Lonchura striata: one gene and its partners. The main gene of each other region encodes a partner of the protein of the gene in region 3 in a complex. Links are inferred from orthologs where the notes say so. Each region holds a gene or a part of one and is shown on either strand. Other genes may lie near its edges.

What was found.
Region 1: the proteins of TUBB4B (region 3) and EFHB are in contact, whole or in part, in a cryo-EM structure (PDB 7UNG), measured with the Homo sapiens proteins. The link is inferred for Lonchura striata from reciprocal best matches to the Homo sapiens genes TUBB4B and EFHB. Residues at the interface, in NP_006079.1 of Homo sapiens: Asp26, Glu27, Asp31, Pro32, Thr33, His37, Gly38, Asp39, Ser40, Leu42, Gln43, Thr55, Gly56, Gly57, Lys58, Ser78, Gly79, Pro80, Phe81, Gln83, Leu215, Lys216, Leu217, Thr219, Thr221, Asp224, His227, Pro243, Gln245, Phe270; in NP_653316.3 of Homo sapiens: Tyr523, Gly524, Val525, Gly526, Leu528, Ile529, His530, Asn531, Arg532, Tyr537, Arg539, Asp542, Arg545, Ala546, Ala549, Ala550, Arg552, His553, Lys556, Tyr608, Asn624, Phe625, Trp628, Asp630, Lys631, Thr686, Leu687, Leu688, Ser691, Asp692.
Region 2: the proteins of TUBB4B (region 3) and PACRG are in contact, whole or in part, in a cryo-EM structure (PDB 7UNG), measured with the Homo sapiens proteins. The link is inferred for Lonchura striata from reciprocal best matches to the Homo sapiens genes TUBB4B and PACRG. Residues at the interface, in NP_006079.1 of Homo sapiens: Glu194, Phe260, Pro261, Arg262, Gln291, Phe294, Asp295, Ala296, Arg306, His307, Gly308, Arg309, Tyr310, Val333, Lys336, Asn337, Ser339, Tyr340, Phe341, Gln375, Ser413, Asn414, Asp417, Ser420, Gln423, Gln424, Tyr425, Gln426, Asp427, Glu432; in NP_689623.2 of Homo sapiens: Glu40, Gly41, Phe42, Thr43, Val44, Ala46, Met47, Met48, Val53, Arg54, Gly55, Pro56, Pro57, Ala58, Ala59, Gly60, Ala61, Phe62, Arg65, Lys154, Arg160, Arg162, Arg191, Gln192, Pro195, Asn198, Ile199, Phe200, Asn202, Met203.

What each region holds. Positions count from the first base shown.
Region 1 is NC_134603.1:120,171,785-120,182,248, forward strand, and holds the start of EFHB (EF-hand domain-containing family member B), read left to right. Parts: upstream 1-5,916; coding exon 5,917-5,982; intron 5,983-6,268; coding exon 6,269-6,328; intron 6,329-7,165; coding exon 7,166-7,309; intron 7,310-8,643; coding exon 8,644-8,824; intron 8,825-9,411; coding exon 9,412-9,522; intron 9,523-10,464. UniProt on the Homo sapiens protein: Microtubule inner protein (MIP) part of the dynein-decorated doublet microtubules (DMTs) in cilia axoneme, which is required for motile cilia beating.
Region 2 is NC_134605.1:36,998,286-37,007,819, forward strand, and holds the start of PACRG (parkin coregulated gene protein), read left to right. Parts: upstream 1-4,715; 5' UTR 4,716-4,830; coding exon 4,831-5,037; intron 5,038-9,534. Other genes in the region: PRKN (E3 ubiquitin-protein ligase parkin), read right to left, coding at 4,107-4,113. UniProt on the Homo sapiens protein: Microtubule inner protein (MIP) part of the dynein-decorated doublet microtubules (DMTs) in cilia axoneme, which is required for motile cilia beating. Suppresses cell death induced by accumulation of unfolded Pael receptor (Pael-R, a substrate of Parkin).
Region 3 is NC_134624.1:4,243,727-4,253,237, forward strand, and holds TUBB4B (tubulin beta-4B chain), read left to right. Parts: upstream 1-5,199; 5' UTR 5,200-5,249; coding exon 5,250-5,306; intron 5,307-5,383; coding exon 5,384-5,492; intron 5,493-5,574; coding exon 5,575-5,685; intron 5,686-6,048; coding exon 6,049-7,109; 3' UTR 7,110-7,255; downstream 7,256-9,511. UniProt on the Homo sapiens protein: Tubulin is the major constituent of microtubules, a cylinder consisting of laterally associated linear protofilaments composed of alpha- and beta-tubulin heterodimers.

The DNA of each region.
Region 1 (10,464 bases), on a different chromosome or scaffold from region 3:
ACAAGGTCTAAGAGTTGGCATTTTAAAGAAAGAAAGAAACAAACCAACTTGTAAGACATTTAGAAAGTGTATCAATAATGGTATTTGGTAATTGATACAATTTAATGAAGATTGTTGAGATACTCCACCACAGGAAATAATCAAATTGTTGCATTCTCAAAATATATTTTTTATTTCAACCACATATATTTAAATGAAGCAAAAATCAAGTTGGGTAAAGCCTGTGGTTTGTGTTACGCTGCTTTCCCCTTCCTTAGTATCACATATAAATACTTGAACATACTGAAGTGAATGGAATGAAAACAGATTGTTTTTTTAGTCTTCATCAGTTCTTCTTTTCCATACACTTTTCCACTGGTACCAGTTTGGTCTCAGAGTAACAATTTCCCCTTTCTCCTTTATTAAGTTGAAGTTAATCACTTAACGTAAGTGCATTGTGAAAGGCCAATATGTAACTTCAAAAAAAGTAAAATAGTCTGCATTCACCAGTGATGTAGAATGCCAGACTAGCTCCAGAGAAACATGTTTGTTTAAGTAAAGTATACAAACTTTTTTGAGCTGTGAGTTTCCTAAATGTTTGTAAGAGTTGTCCTTTAACTCATGTAATCCTGCCCTAGTACACTGCTTATTTGCCATAACCCATTGACTGGTCTCAATATGTTCAACTGGATTGCAGGATTTGCTGAGCAAACAGCAGATTCCTGATAACCAAATGTGTTTTACTACACACCTGACATGCATGCATTGGAGCACCAGGCACCAGCATCCAGTCAACCTGGCAGCCACTCACTCAACTCACTCACTCACTCGCTCACTCACTTACTCACTCACCTCATTCACCTCCCTGCAGTAAGACAGAGAACATAACAAAAGAACAAAAGCAGGAAAACTTGTGGGTTAAGATAAAGACAGTGTGATAGATGAAGGAAAGTGGAAGTTAAAAGGCAAGGAAATATCTGGCTACCTCCCATAAGCAGGACAGTGTCAGCCTGTCTCCAAGCAGCAGCCACCTTGGAAGACAATCTCCTTTGTCTACCTCCATTTTCTATTGCTGATTGCAATGCTGTGTGAGATGGAATATCCCTTTGATCAATTTGGGTCAGCTGTCCTAGCTGTATTCCACTCCCACATTTCTGGACCATCAGCAGCATTTCTTCCTGGGTGGGGCTGATGACAAAGTGGGGAAAAAGAGAAAGTCCTTACTCTGTGCAAGCACTGTTCAGCAGTAGTTGAGGTACTGCTGTGTTACCAACAGTAGTTTAGTCACAAATCCACAACACAGCACCATTCAGTCTGCTATGAAGAAAATGAACTCTGCCTCAGCCAGACACAGTACATACATGAACAGTTTTTGTGGAAAAATATCACACTGAATCTTTAGAATAACTTGAACTAAATTCAATTTAGAGATTAAACACATCATACATGACATTTTGTGTTTCACTTAATCCTATAAAATAAAGGACCATACTATTCTATATGTAAGGATCATTTTCTATGCTTCTAACATAAATAATAATTCTAATATGAATTCCATTCATAAAATTGAAATAATATTTCAGATTGTCAGATGTATCTGAAGCTCAAGGCTAAATGAAATTTTTTATGCAGGAATTCTATTCACATGATATAATTGCTGTTAGGAAGCCTGTTTTGCATGCAGGAGGTTCCTGCTGGCTAACTTAACTCTCTGACTGCAGGGCAGAGCTGTAGCATGTCTTTCTCACTTTGTGAAATGCCTAAATTGTTCTCATGTGGTTGATGCTGACAGAGTAGGACAGTAAACACCAAAGGTTCACTGTGAATGTGTGAAATATGTGAAAGAGAGGCATGAGAGAATGTGGCAGTAATCAAATGACCAAGTTCCAGCTACTGTATTTCAGGCTTGACAGGTCTCTGTGGGTTCTAGTGGTGAAGACAAGTTTCTTATCTTGTAGTCTGCACAAAAAGATGTTGAAGGAAAGCTCTGAAATCACACAGATAGCCCCTACTTGTGGTCATGTTTTCATATTTTATTTCATCATGGTTCATATATCACATTCCAAAAGTGAAACTGCTGGGTGATATTAATAAATTTATGTTGGTTATGTTTTCACCAGGTGGCTTTCCATCTATTTTAGCATTTCTCTGCAGTTTATGTGCAGAATCTCTTCATTGTGTTTGAACTTCCCCCCCTCTTTTTTTTCCCTATGACATTCTTTTTTTCAGTCTCCTATCTCTACTTGTGTACATTTTCTCTGCACTTATATTGGCTTGCGTATTGCATACAGAAAGCGTGCAGCACATAGAAAACAGTAATTTCCTATCTGTAAATGTATTGAATAAGAAACTATGAAAGCAACCAGGCAGTAACAGTGAAGTGCATTGGCATGGCTGATGTAATTCAGATGTTTCACAACATTTGGAGTGTTTTACATGAACTCCTCTGGCCTTCAGAGACCTTCAGGAACCTACAAACTTAGTGTTTTGACTCTGGTCTAGGCCAGCACCATAGTCAGAGTGAGAGCTGTGTTGCAGAACATGGGGTGCTTGCGCTTCATAAAGAAAGTAAAATGCAGGAGTTTAGACAGTTTCCATTCCTCTGTTTTAGCCTAAACAACACAAAAAAATGCATGAGCTTGTGGGAATTGGATGTCAGAAACTTGTGAAATGTCAAGTACTGTTGAGGAAAAGAAGTGCTGCTGTGGAATGGAAAATTTTGTTCAACTTTTTCCAAACAGCTTTCTCTAGAGATCCTACTTTTGACATAGGAGATGACAAATTCATGCTTAAGTAAAGAAAGTTTTAATCTTTTTTTCCCATAAAATTGAGTTCAATTGGTTTTTGTTAATGCTTCATCTTATCTTTAAAATTACAAGTCCTTCCTACTCCACAAATGTTCTTTCTGTGGCCAAAATAACTTTCAGTATAAGAAAGAATGGATATGACACTGATACCAGAATGAGAGGAATTATAGGAAGGAATGTATATTGTCAGTAGGTTTCAAATTGATTTATAGGGACCCATGTTTCTGCAAAAAAGGAAAGAAGCATAGAGGCAAAAAAAAAAAAAAAAAATAGGCTCTACTTGTTTCTGCAACAGGCACTCTTTTTACATATCCAAGTCCTATTTTTATGCCTTAACACAACCCACTCCATTGGGGCTGAGTGGATGATTTCAATTAGCAAGTGTGGCCACCTGCTGGGGAAAAAACAAGGTAAAAATAAATCAGCAATGCACAGAATGTATAAAAATGGTACCACCTTGAGCACAGGTAGAGAGCCATCTAGAAATACAACAAACACAAAAATTCCATTTCCTGAATTTTATTCTGGGATAAAAAAGTCCCAGTTTCCTGTACCCTATAATTACCATCTAATTTTTACACTACTGTACTTTGCTCTCCCTCTCCATAGATCTCCCTTCTGACAACTTTACTAGATAGAAGTTTAACCTTACAGATTAATGGATCACAAGACATAACCAATAATTTTATTTATTAAACTACCAAAAATTATTGTTTTATTTTGCAGAAATGCTCTAAACTTCAGGCAACAACAAATATAACTGAAATATGAAAAGAACTGAACACACTAAGACTTTATGAGAGCTTCTTTAGTTCCCAAGTGGACATGGATATTCCATACTAGGTGTGTGATGCAGCCACGTCTACAGCAAAAAAACACATAACTTCTTTTGAGAAAGGGCATCTGCATTGCCACAGCTAGATCACAGTTGATGTTATACATGATGCTTCTTGCCTGGAGAAGACCAAGATACATTTATATGTGCTGGAAGTTCATGGATCATGGCACTGGCAAGTACTGTTGGTGACTGGACAGCCAGAGCACATCATCAGACAGCTGTGGCTGTCTGAGCCTCTCACTTTCCATTTGTAGAAAAGGAATTTAGTTTTAATGAAGTCCTTACCAAACGAATGTTAGAGAATAAAATGATGACACATGGTAACATTTGATCAATTACAATTAAGGTCTGTATATTTATCTAAAGTTGGTTTTGCCATCGAAGGACTATGGAGAATGGAGCAGGATGTGATTAAATTGCGATATTTTGCTGGGAAGAACGGGATAGTTTGCTAAATGTCATATGCGAATAAAAGTCTTTGTAACAACTGAGGGTCTGTTAAACGTCAATGAAACTTGTTCAGTCTTACCCACACTGCTTTTCTGAAATAATCCACATCTGTTTCTAAAAGGCAAATACAGTGGGTTAGATATATGAGGTGTTGACTCATTTAAGACAAACAGTGACAGCACTCACGTGTCTGATACATGGGGTAGTGCTGACGGGCTTCTCTCACCCACCTCCAAGCTATGTGTGGGTGGGGGCTGCAGTTTTCTCTAGAGGAACAGCCCCAATATTTTAATAGCATGTGACAACATTTGTGAAAGGAGCAGTATTTTTTATTAAAGTAATTAAGATTCAAAGTTTGATCAAATCTTTGAGCATGTAAGACCTCATTTCAACTTCAAGATTCAACCCACCTGTCTTAAAGCTGGTAGATTTTCAAAGATTTAACAATAGGTCTGTTATATGTGTATATGATAATTTGTGCAAATAAAATTGTCATATATTTTATAGTTATGTACTGTTAAGATATACTCTTATAAGAAGTTTTTAAAAACACACAGGCCAGCGGCGGTGAAACCACATGGACAAAGGAGGGAGGACTCGATTCACAAGCAATTGAACATAGTCAGCCCAAAGATGGATCACCCATCAAAGTAGGCCAAGGAACGTCCGATAAAAATGCGATAAATATGCGATAAAGATCCGAAATTGAGATAGCCAGAGCCATCAGTGAGATACATCTCAATGTTGAATTCCTGGAACTCCAACTAAACACGTGCATTCCAAAAAGGAAGAAAAGGGGCTCTGCCTCGAGCAAGAAAAATCGTATAAAAATCGGCCAGACAGGAGGGTTGGTGTGGAGCATAGGAGACCCTTTGCTGCACCGGTCAAACCTGCGTCTCACCCAGCGCCGACACACGGGCTCAGCACTGACCTTTTTTTTCCATTTTGATAGTGGCATTTCTTTATTTGTTGTTATTCTCTAAATTTATATTTGGTAAATTTAATAAATTTTCTTAAATTAACAAATTGTAGCTTTCATTTATAAAAGGTCTAAGGAATGTGCGACCTCTGCGGCTGGACCTTAATTATTTTTCTAGATCATGACATGTACAAAAACAGCCCAATGCAATACTTTTCGAGGGGGGTGTGAGACGTAAGTGGGGTGGCGGGTGCTGAAGGCGGTGGTGGGAGGGTTGTGAGGGGAGAAGAGGTGGGCGCTGGGGGAGAGGGGGATGGCGGGGCGCTGTGAGGGGCAGACAGGGGCATTGAGTGTGAGGGGGATGGCGGGGCGCTGTGAGGGGCAGACAGGGGCGCTGGGTGTGAGGGGATGGCAGGGCGCTGTGAGGAGCAGGACGGGCGCTGGGTGTGAGGGGATGGCGGGGCGCTGTGAGGGGCAGACAGGGGCGCTGGGTGTGAGGGGATGGCGGGGCGCTGTGAGGGGCAGGACGGGGGCATTGAGTGTGAGGGGAATGGCGGGGCGCTGTGAGGGGCAGGACGGGCGCTGGGTGTGAGGGAATGGCGGGGCGCTGTGAGGGGCAGACAGGGGCGCTGGGTGTGAGGGGATGGCAGGGCGCTGTGAGGAGCAGGACGGGCGCTGGGTGTGAGGGGATGGCGGGGCGCTGTGAGGGGCAGGACGGGCGCTGGGTGTGAGGGGATGGCGGGGCGCTGTGAGGGGCAGGACGGGCGCTGGGTGTGAGGGGATGGCGGGGCGCTGTGAGGGGCAGGACGGGCGCTGGGTGTGAGGGGATGGCGGGGCGCTGTGAGCGCCGGCGGCACCGCGCGCCGCGCACGAGCGCTGCCAGCGCCGCCGCCGTTACCGAGCGAGCAGGGTAAGCCGTGGCCATGGCGGAGCAGCCACGGACATGTCCCGAGGAGACGCTTCCCCACGGGACCCGGGAGGTGCCGAACGTGAGCGCCTTCGCCAAAGAGGTTCCACCCATACCCCTATCAGTGCTGTCTGGGGCGGAGTCTCGCCGAAGGAAGGGGCTGGAGGAGGGACGGCGAGTGGGAGGGGAAGGCGCATCTCCCTGCCAGCCCCTTCGCTCCCAGAACGGGGGAGGCTCCTTCCCACCCCCATCAAAACGGGCACACTTGGACAATGTCCCGTGCGTAGTGTCAGATCCCAATTTGACTAGTTGTGTGTATTATTACGAGGTTAGTTATACGTTATTTATTTTTTCATTGCATTGTTTAGGCTGGAAAGTTGAGTCCCGCGGACAATACGGTTGCGAGTTGTCTCAAAGAGGCGCCCAAGGTGAGCTGGTTTTGTAGAGGCTCCTGGTTTGTTTTTTTTTCCCTCTACATCCCTTCGCTTTTGAAACTACTGTTTATTTCAATTTTTTTTTTTTAATTTTTTTTTTTTTTTTTTTTTTTTTAAATCGCATGGAATTACAGAGGCTAGCTGGCAAGACTGGAAATCACTTCTGGCAGTTCATTTTCATTCCACATGTTTTACAAAAGTTACCATGCTTGCTTTGTTGGGACTAAATATAATTGTTTTAGGCGGTTTTTCCCTCTGGTAATGCAATGAAAGTAATTATTGGGAATTATTATTGCTTTTGATGGAGGTTCTTCTTTACAAGGATGCCTGCCAGAATTGTGATTCCCATTGGCCCTTCCCTGTGGACCTGAAGAGTCAGAGACTACTGAGACACAAATAGATCCTGTAAATAGCAGGTCTCCCTTTAAACAATAATTAAAGAAACCCCAACACTGTGGTTTAAATAATTTCAAAAACTGCTTCATTGATAGTGGAATTGCTGTGAATCAGGTTAAAGGCTTCTAAAATTTATAGTTGGAACATCTAGTTTTCCTCTAGAGCATGTGAAGTAGCTGTTACCCAAATTAAAAAAAAAAAAAATTATGGGAAGTGTTGAAACTTAGCAATGCTGTTTTGATAAAATTTAATCTGGGTTACGTTGACCTTATGCTCACAGTATCAGCATCTGCAGGAGCATATGCGTGTACTATAGCCCTAAAGCATCTTCGTATTTTGTTCTTATATCTGGAATGACACAAATGTCTGCAGTACATTTTCTTTTCATTAATGTTTGTCTGGTGCAAACTTGTTTTTGCTTTGTCTTACATATAGCCTGTTACTCCCATCGCTGTACGAAAGTTTCGAAATACAACAGATCCAGCTCCTGGTGCTAAAATAATATTCTACGGCAGTGCGGGTGATCCCGACGTTGCAACTCACTTGACACATGGCATAAAGTCAACCTCCAAATTCACTGTAAGAATGTGACTCATTTACTCTTGTTTAAGACTGGACTTCTTAAGAGCATTCTTAATAAAAGCAACTGATTTCTTCATAGTCAGTGATAAAGGCAAGTGATTTATACTTCAGCATTTCACAGTTGCTGTGAATTACCTGAGTTCTGAGGTCAAATCATAGGTCTTATTTAGCATTATTGAAACTGGAAACTATTTGAAGTGCAGTGACTGTTGTCAGTGATGTAACTTTCATAGTGAATGCTGAATTATTAATTTCATTTCAAGATTTAAGTTAATGAACAGTCTTCTTCCCACAAATTTTTCTGCTTGCTTTTTTTTTTTTTTTTTTGTAGGTTGCAGAGATAAAACCAGTTGAGCTCTTAGCAAAAGAGCTGTTTTCTGTGAATGTGTTCACAGTTTGGTGTAATTATTCTGTATGCTTTCTTGCCTTTGGATTGAAACTGATCTTTTTAGCTAAAAATGATAGTTTGGATATGTCAGACTATGTTGTGTGTATTCTCTAGAAATTATCTTTGTAATCTGCAATAAACAAGTGATGAGATCATCCATAGTTTTATCACACAGTTAGTGTTCCTATCTCTAAAAATAGCAGTTGTGTTAGTAAAGTGTATTTTTATGAAGGAAGTAAGTCCTAGTGTTCCAGGATGTTAAGTAGGACATTTATTAGGCATATCTAAAATGAAAGACAGCCAGGTTTTGATGTCCTTTCTTAGAAGGTTTTTGTTGAATGGATTGATCTGTACTGGATTAACCTGTACTGTCTGTTGAAGATTTTGCATTATTAATTAAATATTATCTGTAGGAAGGGTTAGAAGCCTATTCCATTTGCTAAGCATGAGTTTGGATCAATTGTATTTGCTACTACTTTTTCAATATTTATTTATATAATATTTAATATGAATCTAATAATAAATCTTCTCTAGAATCCCCATTACTTTGATAGATAGCCTGAAAAATCAAGTCACTTCAGTTTTGGTCACATTATAATTTGACTATAGTTTCTAATATGTGCTAAGAAAAGAAAGATTGCAGTCAGAAAATGCAGAAAATGTACATATTAAAAAGTGGAAAATCTAGAATAAAAAATATCTCACTAAAAGTATTTTATTTAGCTGGAAATTTAGCATAGCATTGGTTATTAGGGTTGTAGTCTTCTCTCAAGATACAGGTTTGGTTTGCAACTCAATGGATAAAATTATGTCAGTGTAACCATGAAGATCTCATTAGAACACTTATGAGCAAACTTTTGTTTGTGTGGGTAGTTGTAGTGATGTGTGAAAGATCAAAGATTGTTGGTTTTCCTGCCTTTGGTGTTGTTTGTGATGTCCTCAGGTAGCTTCATTGGTAAGTCCAGTTGCTAAAAGTGAATTTCAAGAAAAGATGCAAGACATGAAAGAAGCAATTTACTCCAGTAATCGCGAAGCACCTTTGGGTAAATCACATGATCAATCTTTGAAGTTACCTGAGGGCTTGGATATAATTAATACTACATTTGGAGTGAAAGTCTTCAAAGGTAGGAAAGTGTGACATTTAAATATATTTCCTGTAAATACAAGATAATCTGCAATTTAGTATCTAGCACATGCTCTATGATTTCAACAACTCCATTTTAAGAGAAGAGTTATATGATAGCTACTGAAAGGCCTAAACATTTTTCAGTTACAATGAAGATACAAGCAACTGAGAACATATGGTAACTACCAGGGCGTTTGGCTCTCTTCCTGATCTGTCTTTATAGATTTCCTGGGAGAACTGTAGGGTAGCTGTCAACTTACCTTCCTTTTCCCAACAACTCTTATAGAAGAAACTTCCTTGACATGTGTACCTTTCCTCCATAGATTGGAGGAAATCACATCTGTGTTACCCATGTAGCTTTCTTGAAAAAGTTCTGTTCTTCTGGAGTTCTGTGATTCTCTCCCTAATCCCATGTCATTATGTTATTAGATGAATATAGACTGACTAGCAATGTGGTAAGAAGTATTGTCCTTCCACAGTATTAGCAACTTCTCTAACAAGGTATTGTTTACAATTAAGAATGAATGAAACAAGATATCCACCTCCCTTAGCTCCCCCAACCATACATTCTTTATTTGTTTCCAGATTTAACAGCTGGAGAGCTTGTAAATCCACCAAAAACCTTTGAGGAAGTGGATACAGAAGCAAGAGAAGGACATGATTTGTACGTTCTGTCACATGAGGATTATTACGTGGGTAAGTTAAAAGACTGATAAGAAACCACATAAGAAGGTCTTTTATGTGTGTTCAGTGCCTACTGTATGCTATTTTTTGAGGTGTAAACTACTAATTTTAACCACTGTATTAATACAATATAAATTATTTTTTAAAATTATGTGAAAAAAAGCAACTGAGAGAGCATGATCTCCATTTCCAGAACTGTCAATCACTTCAGGATGGGCATTTAAAACAGTATAAGAACTTCATGGAGGAATTGGAAGCCTGATTTCTTTTGAGTGCTGTTTGAAAAGCAAAATATTTCTGTGAAACAAGAAACTCACAGATGCCCTGGTTGCTTACTGAGTTTGATATTGTCTTGCTACTGAAAGCAAGTTCAGATTTGAAGTCACAGACTGTGAGCTCAGCCCATTCCAGTACTTTTTCTTCTAGTTCCTCTCTTTCATCAGGATCCAAACAGAATTGTAGAGCAGACAGACTTTCTGATGAGGAGCTTAGCATTAAGATCTGATTGTGAAGAATGTCAGGCTGCTGGGTGGCTCTCTGGAATGAAGGTTCCTCAGCCTACAGAATCCTCCTCGTGAGTCTGTGGGCTTCTGCATTGCTTCAGCCCCTGGGGGCTGTACCTGTGTGATGTGGTCTGCTTAGAGATGGTTACCCTTTATTTCATAGGCCTGCACAGGAGCAGAGTGACAAATAGTACTCTAAAATGCATACAGTTCTATTTTTCCCAGTTCTGTGACTTTCACATAGGCTGAAAATGGAAATTTTATGTGGAGACTATTACATAGATGTGAAATTATGGTACTTTGTTGTTTCACTGAGAAATAATTCTATAAATAGTATTGGTATAAATTGGCGAAATCTGTAACCTTATTTCCTCCCTTCCCTGCCTTTCTTGGGTGTTTTAGTGGAATTATTCATTATCTGTTTCTGTCTTGTAACATCCATCCAGCATGG
Region 2 (9,534 bases), on a different chromosome or scaffold from region 3:
TAAGTGGAATTTGAAACTCAACTTTATTCTCTCATCACACAGATAGGCTAGATCACAGCACTGGGCAATGGATACTCTATTTACATATTGCCTACAAGTAAGTATGGGCCATAATTTAAAGAAATTGCCAGATCAATTTTCTTTAGGGCCCTATCTGAAAAACTCGAAACACTGCATCAGAATATCCTTAACCCCTCCTTAGTCTCCAGTGACATGATATTATAATACTGTTATTTTGCAGTCATTTAAAAAAAAATCAACCAAAAATACCAAAAAAAGCAAAAAGACATGCCCCACTCTTTCTCACCCTGTCTTTCAAAAAGAAATTCAAGCAAAACTTCTCATCTCCCTTAATGGAAACAAAATACAGCATGTTTATGTGTATCTAGCAAAACTAAGCTATCTTTTGAAGATATCCTACTTCAAATGACACTAACTTTATAACACCTTGCTGACAGAGTAACAATAAAGCATTTTGTAGGAAAATAATAGTTAATATGTAATTCCAGTAAAACACAAAGTGTTTCATGGTTCAATTCTGTACATGCAGTCCAATACAGTGGCAGAAGGGAAAAAGACTCAAAACAAACTGAGCAAAACAGGTCATGTATTTGAAATGCAAGTAGCCTTTGATATTCCAAGGCTTAGGTTTTGTTTAATCAAACTACCAGCCAGATTATTCCACATGTTTGTGAACTACAACTGGAGCTTGTAACTCCAGTCTTGTAGTTGAACTATCCATAGCATTAGAACACCAAAATGCCAACAAAAGAAGAAAATTTCAGAAAATACAAAAAGACATCTTGCATACCAAAACTGCAGTATGAAATCAAAATATCTAAGTAGAAAAACTAAACTACTTTTCTTTTGGTTGCTACACTAGTACCATTATTATAATAGTACCATGTATATAAATATATTCAGGGAAATTCTGAAAGGTTTTAGTCTTATTTTCCTTCTTCAAGGTTATTTTCATACTAATGAGAAATATTTATGCAGAAAGTATATTACCAAACACTGAAAAAGGTTGCAACACAGAGGAATGATCGGTCATCCAGATAGCTAAAACTTTCACCTAGGCTCCCATTATCACTTAACTTGATTACTGCTGGATGAATCATATTTCACTGTCAAAGCCCTTCGCAACCTGTCGTTATTACCACCTTCATCTTCCATTCGCCACAGAAATGCTGAACTGCCACTGTTAACTATATAGAGTCGACCTTCTACATTTTTAAAACAGTTTAGGGCCTTCTCCTGGCATTTTTGCTCTTTGAGAGAGATTTTCTGAAAAAATTTCACAAAGCTGTCCCAGCATCTTCCTTCAAAATCAGTTTTATTTTTTTATTTTTCCCCCCAGAACAGGTGTTCAAGAATGTGACATTATTGCCAGGGCTGTTGACTAAGAAATAGATCAGCCAATCCAACTGCAGATTGCCACTTCCATTCCACTAACAACAGGTTTTAGCTGATCCAATGGTAAGCAAATAAATAAAATAAAGAACAAGCTTTAAAACCCCACCTCAAAAAAACTCCCCAGACCTACCAAGCCCCTAAGTAGAGGTAATGCAAGCTATGTCACTTAACTAGCTCAGTCCGGATTCAAATTACACTTTAGGGAACCTGAATGTGCATAAGTCTACATGACCTGGTCTGTGAGATATGAAGAGAAAAAAGAAAGATAGAAAATAAAAAATCAGTTAAAGGAATTATCATGTGTATATTATGGTATCAAATTATGAGGATGTAAGACATTTCTAGAGATATGAAACTGTGAAACATTTTGAAAAATATACTATGTATTTTATAGGAAAATTCTTTTAAATACTCAAGTTAAAAAAATGGGCAGATTATTTTCTCACCCTTGCATTCCTACCCCCAATTTTTGCTATGGCATTCCCAGCTTCCAAATGTTTAGAGGAGTTTTCAGAAAGTCTCAAAGCAGGATACTGGACCAGGTCTCCACATCACATACTTTGAAGATAATTCTTTTTTTGGGGGTGAGTGGGGGAGGGTGACATGGTTTTTGGGGTGTGGGGAGGCTGGGATAGAGTTAATTTGACTTAGAAGCTGGTAACATGATGCATCTTGAATTTAGTTTGAGAATAATGTTGGTAACACACTGGTGTTTCAGTTGTTGCTAAATAGTGCTTAGCCTGAATCAAGGACTTTTCAGTTTTCCATGCTCTGTCAGTGAGGAGGTGCATAAGAAACTGGGAGAGTGTGGCCAGGAGACAGCTGACTCAAACTAGCCACAGGGACATTCCACACCAAGAGATAAATTGGTGGGAGCTGGTCTGAGGATGGGCTGGGCATTGGTCAGTGGCCAGCGTACAATTTTATTCTGCATCCCTTTTTCCTCCAGTTTTCTTCTTCTCTCTCTTTTTCATTACTATTATCATAATCATTAGCATTATCAGTATTTTTATTACTCTGATTCAATTATTAAACTGTTCTTATTTTACCTGAAATTCTCCTCCACACCCTGCAAGGCAGGGGAGGAGGGGATGAGCCAGTGGCTGTGTGCTTCTTAGTTGCCAGCTGGGGTTAAACCAGGGCAGGTTGCAACTCATGTAAAGCTGTGTTTTTAAATATGCAACTAATTGGTCTGTACATTTCATAATCAATATTCACAAACGTTTCCATCTGCCACAGTGAAAATAAAATTATCATTCCTCAGTCACAGAACATTTATATTCATGAGCAGTAAGTAAATATTTAGATTTCAGTGTGAAGCTAGAGGCATCAGCTCTGTAACCACATGGGCAGTCCCTTAGGTACACTCAACTTACTTTTCTGAAGCATTGAAAAAACAAACACACACTGCAGTTCTGCAAACACATGTATTTTATATACTACAGCGATACATCAGATCAGCAGATAACATTGCAAAATAAAAACACTGGGATACCTGACCCTCTGTGCTTTCCTTAAGGCAAGCCTTCAATTTAAAATGTTCTCTACTACATAAGAAAAAAGTAGCTCAAATGACAAAGTCCAGTAAGAAAAATTCCACAATTAGGAAGGGATCATTTGCATTAATATGTATACAGAGTGAAAATACTGGACAACATTCTTTTTAGTTTTAGCAAAGGTGAAAGAACATTAGCTATACACATGCAATCATATTTTCACTGCTAAGAAGACCCAAAGCATTCTTGGAAACTTCTGAGACGTTCCATTTAAAAACAATAAACATTTTCACAACAAAATGCGGAGTTTTCAATTTGATCAGATCTTAAGTAGACAGCAACCATGACACCAATGCTGACGAAACAGCAAGCCTGAGAACAGCAAGGAGTTGCTAAAATGCGTGTGTGCAATCCACTACCTTTTATAGGTTTTACTTTAAATAATTCTCAAAACTGAGAAAATCAAAGATGAAATGCATAATAAATAGGAACGCTACAAAACAGATCCTGCAATTTCGAACTTTCCCAGGTATGGATTAATCTTTCAAGGAAGTGAAGAAAACCCACTGCTGAAACAACCAAGTCACGCTTCACACCAGCATTGGATGGGTACAGAAATCAACTCAAGGTCCAAAGGGTCACACTCCCAACACCGTGAGGTGTTGAAAGTTTCTTCTTTTCCAGGTCGCCACCAGGTACCACGCCGGATTAATAACAAGTATATATGCTGGCAAGGCCAAAAAACGTTCGCAGATCGCACAAACCTTGCCGAGAAGCACTTACAATCGATATACCGAAAAGGAATAAAAGAGCTCTAAAAATGAGCTCAGTCACAAGAACTGGCCAGACCTTTCCCCCCCTCCCCCGGGGGTAACAGAGGAGGGCTTTGCCCCGCCGCGGTTTAAGCAGCGGGCCAGGAGCGCGGGCGGCCCCAGCCCGCCCCGCCGCGAGTGCGAGCTGCCCCGCCCTGCCGAGACACCGGGCGAGGCGCGCGGGGACCGAGGGGAAGCGAAGGGGGCCGGGACAGCCCCCGCCGCTCCCAGGGCCGCAGAAGCGACAGCAGAGGCAACAAGAGCAGCGGCGCCAACAGCAGCGGCCGCGGCAGCGCCGGCGAGGAGGGCGGAAGGGAAGGGGCGGGGAGGAAAGGGCGGAACCGCATCCGGGCGCGCCCCGCTCCCTGACGCGCTCACTCACCGATCATGGCGGCGGCGGCGGCCCCGCGCGCGGAGAGGGGCGAGGCGTGCGCGCACGTGCCGGCCGCACCCACCGCTCCGCGCTGCCCCTTTCGCCGCCCTGGGGGGGTCGCGCCGCTGCGGGCGTGTTGGGCCGGCCCTGAACGCGCATGCGCCTCGGTGGCGGAGGTGGAGGCACGCGCTGGGCTCTCTGGGTAGCGTAGTTCCTGGGCAGCTCACACCCGCACACGCTCTTCTCACGTTATCGCCTCACGTTTCCGCCACACACCGCTAATGACTTTCTCGTTAATTGCTGTCCGCCGCCCCGGTGTGCGGTGCACCGGGGGTAGGTACAGCTGTCCGGGACCGGGCGGTGCCGACGGGGCTATTTGTGATTCCCCTCCCGCTTCCCTCAGGGTTGTTGACGCGTTGCCTGGCAACGGTCGCGTGGTGGCAGGTGCCGACGGAGCTCGGCAGGGCCGGAGCCGGCGGGGACACCGCGGCGGGCGGGAGGGCGGGGGCGAGACCCCCGGGGGACAAGGACATCAGGTGGCGAAGGGCTGGACACGGCGGGGTGCGGGGGACGAGCGGGGATGATGCAGAAGGGGACTGGGGAAGAGGGGCAGGCAAAAGGGGTCTGTGAGGAGTAGGGAAGGCGCGGGACGGGTGTGTGAGGCTGCCGCTGGTTGCGGAGGGAGAGAAGCTGGACCTAATGCCTGCTCTAACTCGCTGGACACGGGACGCTGATGGTCGCTTGTTTTTTCCAGTCCGTAACTTGCATCTGGTCCGCCGTGGGCGCCGGTGGGGAGATTGTAATGGAGGAGGGGCGCCCGGGCCCCTCAAAATTGGCCGGTGACAGGCGGCCCCAGCAGCAGGAGAAGAAGGACAAGCAGCAGGACAAGCAGCAGGCCTGCGAGGGTTTCAGTATTAGAGCCATGATGAAAAACAGCGTGGTATGTTTGCTGCAAGCATAGTGGTGATACTAATTAACTGAACTTGTCCAAGAAGCATAGCAAGTTAGAGCTGTGGATATAGCGTGGCAGGAAGGTGTGCAAGTTTCTAATACTTTATCTGGAGTTTGCTGGTTGCTGAAATTACCCTCGGACTTTGCAGGAGTATTGCTGCAAGTTGCGATACTTTCACCAAGTGCTTTATTTTGGTGTTACTTCTTTTTTTTTTTTTTTTCTATGGTTTTGTATTGGCAGTGCACATCCTGTTAAACTGCCAGCCTATGGAATTGTGCGTGAAGCTTCCTGCCTCCCACTTAGCAAAATGCTGTCCAGTAGTGCAGTATTTCTCAAAAGTTTTCATACACTGGCATGGTATATAAAACTGATATGAATGTCACATAGATCTGGAAAATAGATTAATAGATTTTTTTAAATAAGCTTGGAAAATAACTTCTACACCATCTAGGAGAATACTAAACAAACAAACATTAGTTCTCCAACTTGTAGTTCAAAGACAGAGAAATTGATCCAACAAGTAGCAGTCACAATTTCTAATGAACTTGGAGGCTTGGGAGTTAAAATAGTAGTATAAAGGCCCTTCAAATCTCTTTATACTGTTTTATTTATCTACCTTTATCAGAATTTAGGAGTTAAAAGCTTTAACTAGTACAGAGTACAAATATTCAACATGTGAGTGGATGAGGTAATATTACCATACATCTCTGCCTAAGCTCCTGAATTGTATTCTTCATTTGGACACAGTTCAAGGTGTTAGCAAAGGCTTGAGTCCTCAAGGGTTTTTTTAAATCTATAGAGTGTTCTGACAGCTGTTATGAAATACATTATTTCCCTTTGTTTTGCTGAAGTGGTCTTCCTGGAGCAGTCTCTCTGATCTTGTTATCAAGATGTTATGTTATCAAGAAGAAGTTAGCAAGAACATCCTCTTAAAAAGCCAAACAAGTATGTCTTTAAAGAAATTTTAAATAGAGTAAAAGTTGTATACCTGAAAAACTTTCTCCTATTTAGTAAAACTGCAACATATTTCACCTTACTTGGAAAAACACAAGGTGAATACAGCCAAATAATCTCTTTGTTTTAAAGATTGTTTGGTTTGTTTATTTTTATTGTAGAGATGCATGGAATGAACTATAATACTTCAGCAACCTTTAGGATTAATTTTTAAAATATGTTTCCTGTTCTCCAGAGAAAATTCAAGTAATGGATATTTGCATGTGGTTGTTTACACCTAGATATGTAAAAGACTATTTTGTCTAGAAGAATCAGCAGTTTCAGTTGAGTTTGAGAAGCACATATTTAATTTATAAAAAGGAGCTGTGACTTGTGAACATAACTAACTATGAGTTTAATCAGAATTCAGGTTTCCTTTTAAATATTTATAGAGTATTAATTTTTATGGCTGCCTTTATGACTTCCTAAACATGAACAGACCATTAAATCATGTGATACTGTTGTTAAGGAACTGCCTACAAGTAAATCTGCTGCCTTTGCAGCTACTCACAGAATAACAGAAATTATTTTCTTTGGCATGGACATCTGGAAATCATCTAAGCCAACTTTCTACTTGAAGTGGGCCTGTCACCAGTATCCAGATCAGGTCAGTGAGGGTTTTCCTAGCTAAACTGTGACATCAGGGATTGCCTGACCTCTCTGAGCAGCCTGTTTCATTTCTGCCCTGCTCATCTGTCCCCTCGCTTGCCCTCCCAGCCTGTCAGAGCTCGGGTTTACAGTATTATGACCTGCTGCACATGTTCTACTCATAACTGGGTTGGAAGCTCTGAAATTCTTAGTGGTCTTGGGAGATTCATAGTGCCAGGGCTATGTTTTGCAAGAGCTCCATCTGTGGTCAGGCAGCCACCAGAATAACTTCCAGTGTGCAAAAAAAGGAATATCTCATAGCCACGCTCTCTATGCTGAAGTGGGAGTTTCTTTTTACTTTTCCAACTACTTTTTGAATGGAGCTTTAGATTTATTAAGTACTCACTTGTCAGAGGTTGACATCTTTGATGAAGTTCTCATGGAAGGCTTGGGAGTTAACTGAAGGGTTGAAAGCACAGCAGGAATATCTAGTTACGACATGGTAATTCTTTTTGTTAACAGCATGATAAGGCATAGGGTTAAACGTGTTTGGCATCTCCAGGTCAAATAATGAGGTATTGATTAATAGCCTTTAGTGCAAGCATGTAGTTAGTCTTAAACTCTTAGCGTAGATTACCTTTATGCATATATGACTGTAAATATTATACTAAATGTTCCGGAATTCTTTTACATTGCTTGGGCAAAGAGTGTTTTACTAAGCTGTTTTTCTTGAATGTTCCTGAATAAAGTCTGCTTTTGTAGTTAGTAGTAAGTGCAGAAATTAAGTAGATACAGTATTTAAGACTTTTCTCAGCTCTTGCTAAATCAAAAACTTGCTTAGTGAAATACAATGCTTAAATATTCACCTAAAAATGTTCCTGAACTGAATAAAGTGTTTAAGTTACTCCAAAACTGTAAATTTATATATCAGTTTAGATTAAAAGCAAGGTTCAATAAAGGTCTTCTATAATAACAAGAAACATTTACATTTTTATTGTTTTGTCCTCCGGTGAAATCAAGAATGTTATGTGCTCTTACTTCAGAGGTACTGCATATAGAACTAGGAACACAATTAAAAATTAATGTAGAGACTAGCCGATATAGAAGTGTCTGAACATGAATGTGAGCAGCAGGAATATATCTCAATTCATTTCTGATCCTTTCTAGATGACATTTTCCTGTTTTCTGCAACTGTAGAGAAGAGAATGAAGTGTTAGTGTCCCACTTTTCTGTAATGCGCTGGTGGTAAAAGCACTTTTTCAAGGACAGGATTCATTTTAGTACTTAAAGGAAACAGTAGAATGATAATTCTTATCTATCTCCCAACTCTTATAAGATTACTATTACATTCATGTGTTCCATGACATCAGTCAGAAATTGCCTTCAGGAACAGGCCACAGGGATAGAATGAGAATATTTACTAGATGATCTTAGAAAGGAAGGGATGCTAAAAATTTTCGTTTCTGTATTTCTAAAACCAAAGCAGCTATTCAGCCTTAGAGTCTTAGCTCTGTATAGGGCACAGCTTTCATCGCCTAAAAAAGTGTAATTGCTCTTAAGCAGAAAAATGGTTATTTGTATTGCAGCTCTGGATTTTCATTCTTCTGTTCTACATTTAGGAATCTGCAGTCTCTATGTGTGGGAATGAGTTCTCAATCTTTGTACTTTAAGCACTTCTCTCAAGCCATTTTCAGTAATGTGTTGTGAAGAGCTTTCTTACGCTTTACCATTAGAAAATAACTCCTAGAAAAAGTTTAATTTTAACCATGATGTGATTTGTTTATGTTCCGAAATTTGTGATTTGTCATTATATTTATATTCATCTATCCACTGCATAATCAAGACTGATTTTGTTATTTACTTTGTAGCAGTCAAAGTTTCTAATTTGATTTTGAGGCTATAGGAAAGAATACAAGAAAGTTGTATCTTTTGATTATAACAGCTAATTTATTGGAAGAATCAGTGTGTTTTGGGGCAAATAGATGTCAAGTTAAAGGAGTATTTTGATAGAGGTATATTGAGAAGTAGCACATCTGTCTTGGAGGAACTTCTCCAGTTTAACAATAGCAGTTGTGTACAATCTAGGAGTACACTTCAGTGAGCACTGCAAGACAATTTAAACTGTCAGTGCTCTGGAAGGCAGTCCTATCTTCTTCCTCTCTCAGGCTGTTTAGTACTGCTGCCTGTTGTTGTGTCCTCATTTGTACAATGTTGGCTGCTCAGGGAACTGTTCGTGCTGAAAAAACTCCAACCTTTTAAAGCTCACAGTGTTGAACTGCTGTCTGTGGGATTGAGGCAAGCAAGGCTTCTCCTTTAACGAGGTTCATCTGTTTTGCCCTTCTCCCTGTCCTGACTGCATGCTTTCATCTCTCCTTTTGCACTGATATTGTTTTTTCTTGTAAATATAGAGTAAGTTGGATCAGCTGTAACAGCTGCAAAGGGAAGCAGGAGAGTGTCTGCATAAACTGTTTGTGTGAGAATGTACCCTCTTGGAAATATTGCAGTCTTAATTAATTTAAAACCAGTATGATACCAAGTTCTAGCAGGCTAATGACACAAGCAATTACAGCAGCATAAACTTGCACCATAATTGAAAGGTAGTGTTTTCATCCCTGAACATTTATTCATTGTGCAATATGTACTTTTGTATGGCTTTGCAGTAAACTGAACGGGGGCCCTGGTTAAACCTGGATTAAAAGCAGCTCAACATGTTTGGTTTTTTTTTAATTTAATAGCATTTTAATAGACATGACATACACTTCGATAACAGTATAAGCTCACAAAAGTTGTCACTGCTACAGCCCTGCCTATGTCTGCTGCCTGTTTGTACCTTCTCCTTTATGCCAGTACACAGTCATCCCACTGGATTGATGAGGCACTTCAGTTGCATTAGGTTCAAACATG
Region 3 (9,511 bases):
CACTGCAGTATGGAAACTCTCTGTGTGGGATGTGAAAGCCACTCTGATCAGGGATTTAAGAAGCCATTGGAAAAAGCCCTCTATGCAGGGAGACAGGCACTAGCATGGAGTATGGATGAAGGCTCTTTTGGAAACATGAGGGAGAAAGAATAATCCCTACCAGGCCCTGAGAATGAAGAGGAGGTTTGAGAGAGACAGAAGAATGATAAAATCAACTTCTGTGTGAAGGATAACTTATTTTTGTTCACAGCAGGGGTGTCACCATATGTGCACCTCATGACCAAATTAGTCACCACTTCTTGGTGCAAAGTCTCAGGAGAAACAGATCCTCCACATTAAAGAAGGCAACAGCTATCAGGCTTATCACTGGACAGGAACAGCAGAAGAGCTGTGGAACCTTCATGGGAACAATGTTCAAAGTTCACAGGCTTCAAACATGAAGGAGATGTAAATCACGAATTAATGCCAAACATTACACAAAGTAAAAGCTGGTTTAGCATTACCTTGTCTCACAGTATCACAAAAAATGTGAAACAGTCCTGGAGTGAAAGCTCTGAAAGGACAGACTCACCACTTTGTCCACCTTGTGAACGGAGTTACCCAGTGGAAATCATCAAACCAAATGGAAGGAACTCTTCTTCCACACTGATCGTAATTAAACCACAGGACTAATCAGGACAGGAGGCTGTTTATGCCAGAAGTTTACATGGCTGTAAAAGGTGATTAGATAAACTCATAATAACCCATTGGGGCTATTAAACAAAAAGTTACTTGTTTGTGGCTGAAGAATTGCCTGAACCACCTGCCACATCCATATCTGTTTGCCCTGTTCCTCTTTGGTAACTGCTGCAGAGCATTAGAGACAAGACACTGGCCTGGGTGGGTCTGTGGCTTGATCCCATTCAGCTATTCTGATTTCCCTTAGGCAGGAATCCCACAACTGCACCTCTCACTCACTGGTCTCTGGAATCAGCCTCTCACCTTCATGATTTCAATATCACAGCAGCAGTAATTTCTGGAAAACAAGACTGTTTATCCTTAGAAGTAACAATCAGACAAAAATGAGGAAACACCTGCACATACCCACGTCTCACTTCAGTGTTACCATAAACCTGGAACGACCCCAACACCAAAAACCCTCTGGTTCTGAAGGCTGCTCCTATCACACTCATCCGCCAGTGTCCCTCCCTTAACTCAGGGCTTCAGGTTTTTACCTACAGAAACATAATTAGTTCTGTGATTTCTCTCTGGGCTCCTGCCAGCCCCAGGTAGAGGCTCAGTTCAGACTGGATCCTGTTTCAGAGACACAGGCTGCAATCTCACCGGGTAAGCACCGAGAGGAACAACAGTCGCTGTGTGCCTGCCTGCTGAGGGGAGGGATCAGCTCTGTACACACATGCAGAGAACACTTGTTAAGCAAATGGGGAAGGCAATATGCAAGAGTGAAAAGAAAGTCCCTCCCCATTCTGTCCAAACCAGTTGTGTTTACAGTAAAATCTGTTTCCAAGCCAAAAGCAATACAGGTAGTTAAAAGCCAAAACAATGGTAATAAAAAGTTTTAAAAAACCCTAATACGTAATTCAGAAAAACAGAAGTGCAATTTCCAACTTGTTTTAACTTCCCAGTGTCTATCTTTGGGTTATACCCAGGGTCTTTGGCCATGTAACACTGCCCTGATTTTTTCTAGGACCCTTCTCACCACATTAATTTATGCAGCACTTACAGATGGGATCTGCCCCTAAATGAGGTGAAACCTCCCTGCTTGTCACTTGCAGCAGAGTTTGAGGAGAACTTTCAAAGTAATTAAATACCAGCTAAGACAGATGTCTGAAATGAAAACACAATGTGGGAGCCACAAGCATCCCACCTCAGCACTGTTCCTTTCTCTGCCCTCCCAACTGCCTTCCAGCATTCCCTACTCTGGCAAGATGCAGCCTCTCCACTAAAACAAGGGAAATGCACTTCAGCATTCGGCTCAGGCAGGACTGTGGAATGTGCAGCTTTTTGTCCCAGAATTTGCCTCACACTCAGTATTCCATGCAGAGGTTCACCCTGGGAGGAATGCTCCATGTGGGCCAGGGTTCTGGAACAGCCTGCTGTGGCACTTGCCAGCTCACCTCCTGGCACACACTAATTAATGCTGGCCTGCCACAGCGTTAGAAATACCAGGGCTGACATGGTCAGCAGCTCCAGCAGCTCTCCATGGAGATTCCTGACTGTGCTCCTTCTCAGAGAGATCTTAGAAGTACTGGCATTTTACTTCCATTTTAAAAATGGAAAAATATTTAAGATAGGATTGTCATTTCCTGTGGATGTGCAGGTAGCTAAGAACAGAAATACTCGCTGACTGGGCTAGAATTAGCAAAAATTAATGTTGCACAAATAATTTGAAATGCCTCCCCCTTAGATATTCAGGTGGCTGAATCTCCTGGGGAAACCTCTAGAAAGTCAATCAAAGAGCAAAGTTTAGCTGCTCCATAGGGTCCTAGCCCTGCTGCACTGGGAACAATCCTGCTGGTGTTCTGCAGACAGGTATGGGAGCCTTAACCGAGCAGAGCATTTCCACTCTCACACTCCCTCTGGGAATGCTGGGGGTGGCAACAATTGCTCACTCCACACATTACAGAGCAGCTTCCCAAACATGAAAGGCAGTGCAGGCTGGAGTAGAGGCTGTGGGAAGCACACAGGCTCGGGATTGCTCATACAGTGAGAAAATGGATGGCACTAATGCACAGCCCTTTGCTTTCTGGCCCTGGATGAAAAAATCCCAGACCTGTATCTGCATTACACAGCACTCGTAGCAGAGAACCTCCCCCAAGCCCTGCAGTGGCTCCCCCACTCCATCTCAGGGCAGGTTTTCCAGGGTTTCCTGAGCACACATACCTCTGAACGCTGTGCTGAGCACACCTGAAGAGAATTGATGCTGAAGGTACCTCTCCAGACAGCACGCTCTACGTTCCCTGGCTTTAATCACAAAGAAGCCAGGATTCTTTTTGTACATTACTCTGAAGAGATGGCATCACATCCTGCAGGAAAAGCTGTCTTTACTGATTAGCACAGCCTTGTGTGTAACCGTGAGCAATCTTATCAGATTCATCCTGGCTGCCTTTAGTACCTAAATGATGCTGCACTTTTTGGAATTGGTCACCTCAAACACCATCAGAGAACAAAAAGGTGATGTCAGAGGACTGTGCCGAGCTGGAGCGGGCCGAGCCATCCCTTTCCATTGATTCCAGCATGAACACTATTCAATCAATGCCTGTAATTAGAGGAATAAATCTGGACCCTAACGCCTCTGCGTTACTCAGCTCTCTCAAAGGGAGCTGCAGGAACCTCCTGCGTTCTGGCTGTGGATGTGAGGGATGAGCTGTGTGTGTCTCCCCAGACACCCCACAGGCAGACACAAACCTTTCCCAGGACCCTCAGTCACTCCTGATGCCCTGGGGCTGCTCCAAGTGCTCCTGGACTCCTACCAGCACCTCTGCAGGAATATGTTGTTTACATGCCAGAAGTATTGATCTTCATAATCTTTATATTAAGCAGACTACCAGAGGCCATTCAACCTCCAGCCAAAGCCTTCACGAGGCTTCTATATCCTGCCACCTCCTCCTCACCTGACCCCAGCACAGGATTGGATTATTGTTATCCAGGCACAGATTCCAGGATGAGTGTCACACAGAGCTGGTCTGTGTCAGCACAATTGAGGTCAGCCCACCCCACAGCAAGACAGCAGGATGAGACTCCCTGCCTTGGGAGCTCCATTAGAAGCCTCTTTCAAGTTTTTGCTCCAGTATGAAAGAAGAGATGCTGGGACTTGTAAACCAAGCTAGAATCACAATGAATACATACAACCATAAAAAGATTCTGCTGAAACAATAATCAAATATGTTTAATAAAACTGTGACCAATGGATGCACTGTCTGGGCAAGAATGTGCTCACAAAGCTGGGAGGTAGAATAAGGGACAAGGAAAGGCGAGGGTGGTTATTTATTCAGCACAGGGTGTCTGGCTGCCTCAGGACAGGGCTGCAGCACCCACACACAGCCCAAGACGGAGTGTCCATGTGGGGAGGCCTTGACAACTAAGCAACGTCTACCTCAGATCCCCTCACAGGCAGATCTTCCCCTCCCACCACAGGGGCCTCTACAGAGCTGCCACTGCAAGGCTCAGAGCAGCCCTAAGCCCTCACAGCAGCTGGACACCCCAAACCTCCACACACCCCTCACAGCTGCCAGGACCCCCCTCTGCCCTCACAGCCCTCTCACGCCCCCACATCCCAACACTTCCCTCACAGCCCTCCGAGCGCTTATGGCACCCCCAAGCCCTCACAGATCCTGGAGCCCCCACAGTCTTCTCACAGCTGCCAGAACCCCTGAGCCTTTAGCGTCCCCTGAGCCCTCAGCGTCCCCCTCAGCCCGCCAAGGCCTCACACTCCCGCTCCCCTCACACCGCCCGCTCCAGCCCCTTCCCGCCACCCGCGCGCGCCGCCGCCATGGCAACGCCCGCGCGCGGCCGCGCCAGCCCGGGGCCGGGGCCGCGCGCCGGAAAGTGCTGGAATGTGGCTGCGGCCCGCGCGTGCGCACGCGGCCTCCTTCCCCCACTCGCTGCGGCGCCGGCTGGAGCGGGACGGGGGGACGGGCGGGGAAGGAAGGAGGGAAACCTGCCTGGAGGAGCGGAGCCGAGGGGCGGGGGGGAAGCGCTGGGGACTCGCGGGGAACCCGCCCTGTCCCGCAGTGAGGAGGAGCCGCCGCCTCCGCTGCGCAAAGCGCGCACTCGGGTCCGTGAATGGGCGGCTGCGGCGGCCACCGCCCAGAGCCCGCTGCGGAGTCACTGCGACGGTTACCAGGGCGCTTCGTTCTCCGCCAATCAAACGGCGTTAGCTCATCCCCCACGGCCGGCAGCCAATCGGCTTCGACATCAATCATTCAATTGAGCCAATGGGGAGCGCCGTGAGCGAGCTGGGGCGGGCACTCGCGGCTCCCGGTTGCCCAACTGTAACGCCAACAGACAGGAGGGCGGGGCGAATGGGAGCCGTCAGCTTGAGTGACAGCGCCGCAGCCAATTAGATTCTCTCATTTGTAGAGCCTCGCTATAAGCATCCAATCGTTGCGGCGAATGGCCGCCTGGGCGGGGAGAAGAAGGCTGCGCGCGCATTCCGCTGCTATATAAGGGCTGGCGGTTGCCTCGCACAGCCAGAGTCGGTTGGGGAAAGCCTGGGGTTGTGGAGAGCGCTCTGAGCCGCCGCCATCATGAGGGAGATTGTGCACCTGCAGGCCGGGCAGTGCGGGAACCAGATCGGAGCCAAGGTCCGGGCGGGGACGGAGGGCGCGGGGGCGGGAGGGGAGCGCGGCGCGGCCGGCGCTGACGCGCTTCTCTTGGGCAGTTCTGGGAGGTGATCAGCGACGAGCATGGCATCGACCCCACCGGCACCTACCACGGGGACAGCGACCTGCAGCTGGAGCGCATCAATGTCTACTACAACGAGGCCACAGGTAGGGCCCGGCCCCGCCCCGCGCTCCCCCCGCGCTGCCCGGCCCGGCGGTCACGGCGGTCACGGCTCTCGCTGTGTTGCAGGCGGCAAGTACGTGCCCCGCGCCGTGCTGGTGGACCTGGAGCCCGGCACCATGGACTCGGTGCGCTCCGGGCCTTTCGGGCAGATCTTCAGGCCGGACAACTTCGTGTTCGGTGAGTGCGCGGGGGCGGGCGCCGCGGGGTGGGGCGGGCAGGGCACTGCGGGGCTAATCCTGCCGTGGAGCGCCGGGGCTGCGGCTGGGAGCGGCTCCGCGGCGGCACCAGGGGTCGTTGCTGTCGGGTTCTGGGTTACCGCCTCGGTGCGTGCCACCGGGAGAAATGGAGTGGGTGCTGTATCATTGGTAATTAATGTTTGTCTGTGTCTGGCGAGCCACTGCAGAGGTGCCTGTGTGAAACCACAGCCCTGCGCTCGATGAGATGAAAGCTTTCATGGAGCCCGATGCTCTTAGGCTTTGCTTGCGAGCAATAAGCAGGAAGCAGTGACCGTAATCTAATACGAAAATGGCTCTTTTCCAGGTCAGAGCGGAGCAGGAAACAACTGGGCAAAGGGCCATTATACGGAAGGTGCTGAATTAGTCGATTCTGTGTTAGATGTTGTGAGAAAGGAGGCTGAAAGCTGTGATTGTCTCCAGGGCTTTCAGCTTACTCACTCCCTGGGTGGTGGCACCGGCTCTGGCATGGGTACCCTTCTCATCAGCAAAATCCGTGAGGAGTACCCAGACCGAATTATGAATACTTTCAGTGTGGTGCCCTCCCCTAAAGTGTCAGATACTGTAGTAGAGCCCTACAACGCCACGCTGTCAGTGCACCAGCTGGTGGAGAACACGGACGAGACGTACTGTATCGATAACGAGGCACTCTATGACATTTGCTTCAGAACACTGAAGTTAACGACCCCCACCTACGGTGATCTGAACCACCTCGTGTCAGCCACCATGAGCGGTGTCACCACCTGCCTGCGGTTCCCAGGCCAGCTCAACGCTGACCTGCGGAAGCTGGCAGTGAACATGGTTCCCTTCCCACGTCTGCACTTTTTCATGCCTGGTTTTGCCCCACTCACGAGCCGTGGGAGCCAGCAGTACCGGGCTCTAACCGTGCCAGAGCTCACCCAGCAGATGTTCGATGCCAAGAACATGATGGCGGCGTGTGACCCTCGTCACGGCCGCTATCTGACCGTGGCCGCTGTCTTTAGGGGCCGCATGTCCATGAAAGAGGTGGACGAGCAAATGCTAAACGTTCAGAACAAAAATAGCAGCTATTTTGTTGAATGGATCCCTAATAACGTTAAGACAGCAGTCTGTGACATTCCACCTCGCGGCCTCAAAATGTCTGCCACCTTCATTGGCAACAGCACGGCCATCCAGGAGCTGTTCAAACGCATTTCTGAGCAGTTCACTGCGATGTTCCGCAGAAAGGCCTTCCTGCACTGGTACACGGGCGAGGGCATGGATGAGATGGAGTTCACAGAGGCTGAGAGCAACATGAACGACCTGGTCTCTGAGTACCAGCAGTACCAGGATGCCACAGCTGAGGAGGAGGGAGAGTTTGAGGAGGAAGCTGAGGAGGAAGCAGAATAAAGCTATGCAGTTGAACACCTGTAAATTTTGTTTAAAGTTGTATGAACTCTCTCATTCAAAAGTTCTGTTTGTGTTGTGTTATTATTGCTGTTTCCAAGTCACTCCCAATGCTGTACAGGCACCATTAAAGCAGTTCTCACAGTGCACGTCCCCGTCTCCTCTGTTCACACCGGTATGATTCCCGTGTGCCGTCCCCGTAAGTGAGCCCGCTGATGTCCTGCAGGTCTGCAACACAAAAACTGGGCTTGGCACGAGCACTGCCACCTCGTCCACGGCAGCCACCCTCCTGTCCTGCCCTCAGCCAGGTGCTGCCTGCTGTGTCACCGGCAGGGTGGCAGTCCTGCTCCTGCCGGTGCGGATCGAAGGCACTCGCTGGTCTCTTAGAGTCAGGTACTGCTGGAGGGGGGCACATTAACAGGGAGGGTGGATTTAATTCCGAGCTGTAGCTAAATTTAGGTACCTGCCTGTGGCCTGGTGCAGCGTGGCCTGGCAGGAGCTGAGCAGGGGTGGTTTGAGCTGCCTGGGCACAAAATGGTGCCACAGAGCTGCCACCCAGCACTGGGTGTTCTGCAGCAGCTGAGCTGCTCCACTGCAGCTCCTCAGCGCTACAAACCCAGCAGGGAGCCCTGGCCTGGCCCAAGGGTGCAGGGCACACTGTCACAGGTGCCATCAAAACTGTCCCACGCACACAGCCCTTCTGCAGTGATTGCAGAAATCACAGCAGAGGTTTGATAATCGGTGTTGATGCAGCCTCTGCTTGTTGGGTGAGCTGAACACCTGACAGGTATCTGACACTGGTTTGTCTCGTGAAAACCCTGTTTTAACAAGCAGGTTTTTACAATGGAACCAATTCCATTGTAAAAACAATTCCATTAGAACCAAAACCATTGGAACACATTCCAATGTTTGGTGTCACTTCAAGTGACAAACCTGCCAACCAAGGAGCTGGACAGGAGGGAGCAGGTTCCTTCCCTGCTGAAAAAATTCTGTTCAGCGTTCTAAATTATAACTGCTTTTGTTTAAAGGTTTTCTGCCTTAATTAATTTTCTCCACCCAGAGCTGGACTGGTTGGAGCAGTTAAAACTGTTCTGACTGGTGGCTCCAGAGGCAGGGAAGTGGGAATGTCTGCAGAAAAGGGCCCAGTGTCAGACCTGCACTCAGCATTCTCCTCTCTGGGCTCAACCTCCCCATCAGCCACAGCCCAGCCCTGCCAGGAGAGTTGTTTTCCCATTTTGTGCTTTCAATCCTGCCACATTTCATATCTTCTCCCATTTCCCCCCTCTGCACTGCAGCAAGGACGAGCAATGAGTTCAGCTCTTCCCAGCTGAGCTCCACGATTTCCTACCCACATTACTGAGATGTGACCAAACCCAGCAAGGCAGTAGTTGCTGATTCGTTGATATTTTTTAGCCTGGTACGTTAATGCTTCCAGGTGCATGGACACACTTTGCCTTACACACAAAATTCCTCCAGACCTCTCCTTTTAGGCAGCCCAAGATGTCACAGGGCTCGGGCAAGGACGTGTCCTGATGGCAAATACCATTTCCTTACACTTTTTGTGCTTTTTCAACCCCTTCATACCATCTACCTTTTCCTTTTAATCAGACTTGAAGCTTTTTGGAACAAATCTTCCTCATACGTGACAGGTGGGATGTCACTGAGCCTGGCAGGGGATGGTGCCTGGAAATGTGAAGCCTGGGAGAGGCTGGCAGTGGGAATGCTGAGCTCTCCTGCAGCCAGGGCATGGCAGAGTTCCAGTGCCTCAGCACAGACCACAAAAAAGTCTACTACCCATGTGGAGCATCTCAGTGATTGTCCACTGCTGTGCCACTCCAGCTAATAACAGCACTACTTAACCCAGTAATTAGTGACTTTCGTTTTCACTCGGCTGATGAACTTACGTGGTACAAAGCCAGCGTAGTTAGGTATGAGTCCAGCACGGTTGTAGATTTTGGTGTCCGGCCAGTGTGTCAGGGGGAATCTAGTGCCCAATGTATAAGGTGGATTTCTCTCCAAAAGCTGGAAAACAAAAAAAAAGACCCCACAACAGCATGGAATGGTTTATTTTAAAACACACTATTTTTATCAAAGTCATGTGCTTTGACTCTGCATTATATAAAATATTTAAGCCAACATAAAGCAATTCTCCTTCCAGTCCTGCTGTCTTCTAATTAAGAGCTACATTGCATTGTCCCTTTTTCCACTCCATAAATTTTTCTCCTGGCAGGTGTTGGCAGCAGTCCCTACCACCTCATCCCCCATGCCCACAGCATGGCCCAGGTGCTGTCCTTGGGATCCCTGCAGACCAGGCTGCGGAGATTTATTCCCTTGGGGATCCTCCCCAAGTCCCAAAGCTCCTGCTCTGCTGTCCCTGGAGCTGGGCCTGCTCCTGAGCTGTGGCT